Callithrix jacchus: one gene and its partner. The protein of the gene in region 2 purifies or fractionates together with the protein of the main gene of each other region. This does not show direct contact. Links are inferred from orthologs where the notes say so. Each region holds a gene or a part of one and is shown on either strand. Other genes may lie near its edges.

Evidence for each region. Proteins that work in one complex are often made in the same cells at the same time.
Region 1: the proteins of RPP30 (region 2) and RPP25L purify together in Homo sapiens (co-immunoprecipitation; 3 studies listed by BioGRID and IntAct, counting the BioPlex papers as one, with this or other methods). This does not show direct contact. The link is inferred for Callithrix jacchus from reciprocal best matches to the Homo sapiens genes RPP30 and RPP25L.

What each region holds. Positions count from the first base shown.
Region 1 is NC_133502.1:141,477,095-141,480,567, forward strand, and holds RPP25L (ribonuclease P protein subunit p25-like protein), read right to left. Parts: upstream 2,101-3,473; 5' UTR 2,054-2,100; exon of another isoform or gene 1,815-2,053; intron 1,336-1,814; 5' UTR 1,305-1,335; coding exon 828-1,304; 3' UTR 505-827; downstream 1-504. UniProt on the Homo sapiens protein: May be a component of ribonuclease P or MRP.
Region 2 is NC_133513.1:83,675,102-83,678,613, reverse strand, and holds part of RPP30 (ribonuclease P protein subunit p30), read right to left. Parts: intron 2,054-3,512; coding exon 1,944-2,053; 3' UTR 1-1,943. UniProt on the Homo sapiens protein: Component of ribonuclease P, a ribonucleoprotein complex that generates mature tRNA molecules by cleaving their 5'-ends. Also a component of the MRP ribonuclease complex, which cleaves pre-rRNA sequences.

The DNA of each region.
Region 1 (3,473 bases), on a different chromosome or scaffold from region 2:
TGGGATAGGTAAGTCATTAATAATCATAATAGTAATTAACATTTAATAGCATTATGCGCCAAGGTGGTTTCTAAATGTCACGTATTTCTTTATCTAACCTCGTAACAACCCTATGCGATAAACAGTATTGTATTCCTGTTTTATGGATAAGAACACTAAGGCACACAGAGTAGTAACTTGCTAAGTGGCAGACCAGGACTGAAACCCAGGCAGGCTGGTGCCTGAGTCCATGCTCACAACCACTATACTATACTGTATGTTGCAGATGATGAGAAATGTCTGACCTGACAGTGTTCTTAAACCAGCCCAAAAACGGTACAAACAACTACCCAGGGAATTAACTATATTCAGTACTGACTGAGGCTTCTTATCTACACTAGATCCTCCCAGCATCAGCCTGAGCCTACTCTTCCTCTTTCTTCACCCAATCAGCTCCCGGGGGCTAAGGGCAGGGACTCCCATTTCTTTAATCCCACTCCACATAGCAGGCTGAGTAGAGTCTCATCAAATAGGTAGAAACTTTATTTTCTAAATCCCTCCCTGGACCTCTGTCAGAAGGCAGTTCAGATGCACTGTAGGTAGAAGACAGAGTAAACCCTTCTTTAGCAATGCAGAACTTGGCAGAGGCTCCACACCTGTCACTCTTCACAGCAGTCCCTTCCCACATACCAGAGAGAAGGGGAAGCAGGACAAGGGGGCCCACCTCTGTGGATCTGAGCCTTGATGGGGATGTCTAGCAGTCACAGGGTTTTTCAGAAAAGACACACATCTCAGACATTCAGGCCTGGAGAACAGCCTGGCTGAGCAGGTCTTCAGGATCGGGTATCTCAAGTCCTTCTTCGGGTACGAGGGCCAGAGCTGGAGCTGGGCATGGAACCCAGGCCAGGGGGTGCTCCTGGGGGTTGGTAGCCACACTCATTGGGGTCCAAGGGGTCCCTGCTGAGCAGTACCCACACTGCAGGCACATGGCGGCGCACTGTGAGGGGGTCTAGCCCTGTGTCAGGTGAGGTTGGGACCCAGCTGTCCTCGGTCTGCAGAAAACGTAGCTTGGTGAGCTGGTGTAGGCCTGGGACCCGCCGCTTCACAATCTCAGCACAGCTGACAGCTTTTCCTGCAGCCCTGCCGGAACCTGAGAACACCACATGCCGCGCACTGCCGCCCTCCAACCGACCCAGCGCCAGCCCCAGCAGGTTGCGAATTTTGCTGCCATCTCGGACCCGCATCTCAAGGGTATCAGGAGGTAGCTGGGGCATTGGGGACGGTGCTGGGAGTTCCACAGAGCCAGCTTTCCGGTAGTGCTCCATCAGTTTGCTGTCTTGTGACTCTCGCTGCCCACTGCACGGAAGCATCAGATGAGTGCTAGGCCATGTGCCCAGGTCACTGTCCACCATCCCTTACCTCCCTTCAGGATGTGGCCCTGCTCCCCGTTCCAGACTTCCCAGAAACAGGATCGTATCCCCTGGTCCTTAGCATCTCATGACAAGGGCCATGCCTGCCTCACTCTGGGAAGGGGCTGTAGCCCCCACACCCCCGTCCTCTACAAGGGCCATAACACCCCCACCTCCAATCCTGGAGTCCCAGAGGCAACACCAAATTCCCCAAACACCGAGCTCTTGGGATAACGCCAGGCCCCCTCATCCGAAACTCTTCAGAACTGGAGCCTAGTCCCGCTTATCCTGGATTCCTTGGAACAGGGCCTGGAACCCTCACCCCAGACTAATACCAATAGAGAGCGCTAGTCACTTGGGGGATTACAAAGACAGGGACAAGGCACTTCGCCCCAGGGCCCCCGGAAAACAACCAAGGACCCTTACCCAGTGCTGCCCCCAAGCAGAACTGACTTCGCTCTCCCAGAGATTACCAGGGTCGAACCATATCAACCCAGGTCACTCAGAAACTCAGGGGCAGAGGCTCGACTCAGAAGGCTGCTCGGGCTATTCCAAGACAGCCCTGGTCGTTTCCAGGGTCCTGCCGGCCGCTGCGGTCAAGCAGCAGGCGTCCCCTCTCCCACCACTTCCGAGCGCCCCGCTGCCTGCCAGGTTCTAGCTCTCACCGAAGCCGCCTCACTGCCGATCCGGAGCCAAGATGGCGCGCGAGCCCAGAAGCTCCAAGGCCGCGGGGCCGCGCACGCCCCGAGGGGGCGGGGCCTGAGGGTCCGGCCGCGAGGCGCCTCCGCCGGGAAACGGAACCACCCGCAAGGCCGCTACGGAGCAGTCCCAGTGGGGCTGGGACACTAGCGCAGTCTCCACTGTAACGCCCTGGAGGGAGGCAGGAAGATATCCTGCGGTAGAAAGGAGTAGCCGTCAGAGAAGTCCTGCGTCTGAAGGAGAGGAATCTGGCTCTTAGAAGATGGGGAGGGCTGGCGTTACCTGTTGAGCAAAAGGGGAGCAGTGGGTTTCACAGTGAGTGCGAGCAGGAGCTTCAGTTTGGAGCTCATCTTGAAAGCTCTCATCTTGAGAGCTCTACACCTGCCAGAAAGCCAGACCAGGATGAGTTTAGTTCCCAGGCCGCTGTTGCAGAGGTGAGAGCCTTAATTACCGACTTCTGGGCTTCAGCCTCATCCTGTGGGCGCTGGCGGATTACGGGGGTTTTCCAGCGGCTTGTCGAACCAGATCTTGTGCAGAGAGCCGAGGAGTGGTGGGGAAATCAGGCCGCAGCCCCTGACGACACCTGGCCGCGGAGTCTGGGGGCTGAGAGGGCAGGGGTGCCTACGGAGCCTAGTATGGTGTCTGGCGTATGATCGGCGCTCAAATATTTGTTAAATGATTTGTTAAACTAACGAACCAGAGAAAAAGTAGTAGGAATGGAAAAAAAAGATTAGGTCGGGAGATACTAGTAGGTAGGTTCAGTCTCGAGTTGGCAACTGTTTGGACGGAGAAGTAGGGAATTCCGATCCAGGATGTCTCCCGGGTTTTAGACCAGTTTGCACACGCAGAATTTGAGGTGCCGGTGAGGTCGTGCAGGCGGGGCAGTCAGCGGGCCATTGGAAAAAGGGTCTGGAGCCAGAGCACTCCGTGAATCCACAAGGGGGCAGCAAACATTTGGTGGAGTGCGGGGCCAATCTGTTTCTCAACGTGCTTGCCCCAGCACCCCTACTTCCCAACTTCCCCTCCCCAGGACCAAAGCTTCCTGCATCCAAACCTCTTAGGCTGCCCTTCTCGGCTGGTGGCACCAGGTAGGCTCCCAAGAGAGAAATTTAAAGGCTCTTCTCTGCTTTTGCACATGCTGCTTCCTTGGTTCTGAAAGTCCCTGCACATCACCTACCAGGTCCCTTCAGTCCCTTTTTCTTTTGTGCCCACCTGATAGGACTGCCCTTTTCCTTTACTGTATACTGCTAGCTAGTGCAGGGCAGGGATTAGGTTAGCCACATCTACTCCCATCATCTGACATTTGGAGGTCTCTTCTTAGTAAACGTGGGTTAAATGGATATATAAAGGAATATCCCATTCACATCATCAAATGAGAGCCTTCAT
Region 2 (3,512 bases):
CTATGTATGCATACAATATTCTTCTACTTAAATTTTGCCAAGGGTTTTTATTGTTGTCATTTTAAAAATCAGGAGTGAGACAGAGACCATCCTGGCCAACATGGTAAAACCCCGTCTCTACTAAAAATACACAAATTAGCTGGGTGTGGTGGCATGCACCTGTAGTCCCCGATACAGGGGAGGCTGAGGCAGGAGAATTGCCTGAACCCAGGAGGCGGAGGTTGCAGTGAGCCGAGATTGTGCCACTGTACTCCACCCTGGCGCCTGGCAACAGAGCGAGACTGTCTCAAAAAAAAAAAAAAAAAAAAAAATCAGGAGTGGATTTTAAACTTTATTAAATGTCTTTTTGGCATCTATTAAGAACATTCTGATTTTTCTCTTTTGACCTATTAATATGCAAAAGGATACTGCATTAAAAAGAACTAGAAGGCTGAGTATGGTGGTTCATGGCTGTGCCTGTAATCCCAGCACTTTGGGAGGCTGAGGCACAGACTGCTTGAGTACAAGAGTTTGAGACCAACTTGGACATGGCAAAACCCCATTTCTACAAAAAAATACAAAAATTAGCCGAGATGTGGTAGTGTATGCTTGTGGTCCCAGTTACTCGGGAGGTTGAGCTGGTAGAATGGCTTGTTGACACTTCAGGCCAGGTGAGAGAGTGATACCCTGTTTCATCAACAACAACAAAGAATCAATCTCACAAAAAAAGGAATAAATGATGTACTCTGTTTTAATGTTTTTAAATCAATATTTTATCTAAACATCTATATTCATTGGTGAGGTTATAAAGTTTTCTCTTTTTAAAATTATATTTTGTCCAACTTGCAGAACAGTTTTCTTTCTCTTGTTTAAAAGTTTCTTATTCAGTTATACCTCTGGTTCTACTCCACTGTGTTTTAGAGCCCTTACATTAATATTACATAAATGCAGACATGTGCAAATAAAGCTACTTGTACTTAACACGATCCTGTTATAAAAATAAATTATTTCCAAAGCTGATTGAGTCCAATGCTTTGCTATTTTAATGCAGCTATTAGGAAAATCAATATTAGGTTTTTAGGGGTTTCTAACTAAAAGTAAGGAATCCTATTTCAAAGACCTCATGGAGGTATGAAGCAGTGAAGTAAGAGTCCAAGTGTAATTTTACATGTGTATCCTCTCTACTTCTACAAACTACAGCAATTCCTTTTAGGAAAAAAAAATGTTGATTTGGTGAATACATGAGAGAGAAGCTTAAAACATCAACTAAAAGTCACTTCTTCAATATAAGTTTGAATATCTTCAAAATAACTACCATTTGACTATGAACAAGTAATTTTTGAGAGAAGCTCTTAAAATATTCAAACATCTGGCTACACTGGTGGTCCATGTAATCCCAACACTTTAGGAGGCCAAAGTGGGAGAATGGCTTGACCCTAGGAGATTGAGACCAGCCTTGGGAGCATAGTGAGACCATGTCTCTACAGAGAAAAAGAAAAAAAGCCAGGTGTGGTAGTGTGCACCTGTAGTTCCAGCTACTTGAGAGGCTGAAGAGGGAGGATCACTTGAGCTCAGGCTTGAGGTTCCAGTGAGCTGTGATTATGCCACTGTACTCCACTCTGAGCAACAAAGCAAAACCCTATCTCAAAAACAAAACAAAACAAAAATACCCGAAACATCTTATTCAAGTGTATCTGCTGTTATCACTTACATAAAGGAGAAATAAATAAAGTCTTTCTCTCTTAAAGTACATCTAAATTCATTAAGCTGGCAGTCTTTTGAAAAAAATGCTTCACTAGGTTTTGTTTGTTGTTTTAATGGATTGGAAGTAAAACTGTTCTTAGAGACTATTGATTTCTAGCTCCAAATGAAAACAGTAAATCACACAAAGGTTTTCTCTTTGTTGTGGCCGATGAAGTATAAAAGGGAAGAAGGGACTGCTGACAGAGACTGGGGCATTCTTTTCAGCCCTCACACTTGGCTTTCTTGGGAGCTGGAAGACAATCTTCATCCCCTTCTAATAGCCGAGGTTTCTTCACTGTAGAAATAATTCCAAAAGCAGTTTTTCTAGTGTCTGTAAAACCAACAGGAAAACCATTGTGCTTGAAGTTAGGACATTTAAAAAGAGGTGGTTTAACATATGACTTTGGCTTACAGTAGTAGTAAATGATAAGCCATAATGAACTGTTACGGGTGCTAGTGTCATTTAGTATCATCTTTTTTCCCCAACATAAATAAACATCAGTATATTATTAACATATAATTTATTCCTAAAGATTACCTCATGCATAAAACTGCAGGACAGTGTTATGTCTAATGGTCCGTCCATGACATCTTATGTAACCAGAACCCAAGTCATAGATATTGGTGTAGCAGATGCTTTATATATGGTAGACAGACAAGTCAAGAGAGGAGACACAGCAGTCGAGTGTATGGCTCCCACGTGGAGCACATGCTTGTCTTGTTTTACAGCATGTACCCTATCTCTCTATTAGAACATCAAGGTACCTCTGAAAGAATCAATTGCATTGTATTGTGAACACCCCACAATGGCCTGGTTATGCAAAAGGTGTTCAATAAATACTAGTTGAGTTAATGAATAAAATCAAACTCATAAATTTATTGATCTCTTATCTAACTGGTGACAATGAACAAAGAATAACTGGGAATTATTAGATACTTAGATTAGGTTGGCAGCAGAATTCAACTTAAATTTAACTTCTAGAAACCTACTAATAGGTTAGGCAAACTGTCCATATACACAGGGTATTAAGATGTCTAACAGACAGTGCTTTTCCCTATAATACATGCATGTGAGAAGCACAGTAAGAGCAAATATAATAGGAATGGAGGCAGTCACAAGAATTAACTGCCTGGGTAAAGCAACGAGGTATTCATATAAAGGAGACACTACTTGGAATAAGGTAAATGGAATAAGAAAAGGAGAAGTATTCCTTTGCAAAGGCATGGACAGAAAGGTAAGAAGAACCTAGATAAGATAGTTTAGGGGACAATAAGGCTGGTATGAAGGAGGAATATGAAAAAATTAGGAGGAAATCAGGCTGAAGAATAGCTTATGAAAGGCCACAGTGTCATGAAAAGAGACTCAAACTCTGTCCTTAGAAATGGAATGGGATTATGAAGGAGGGAGATACTCATTAGCTACAAAGGAGGCAGAATCAAAAGAACTTGAACAGAAATTTAGTTAAGAATTACTCAGCCGGGCGCAGTGACTCAAGCCTGTCATCCCAGCACTTTGGGAGGCTGAGGCGGGTGGATCACGAGGTCAACAGATCGAGACCATCCTGGTCAACATGGTGAAACCCCGTCTCTACTAAAAATACAAAGAATTAGCTGGGCATAGTGGCGCGTGCCTGTAATCCCAGCTACTCAGGAGGCTGAGGCAGGAGAATTGCCTGAACCCAGGAGGCGGAGGTTGCGGTGAGCCGAGGTCGTGCCATTGCACTCCAGCCCGGGTAACAAGAGCGAAACTCCGTCTCAAAAAAAAAAGGTTTCCAAAAAAAAAAGAATTA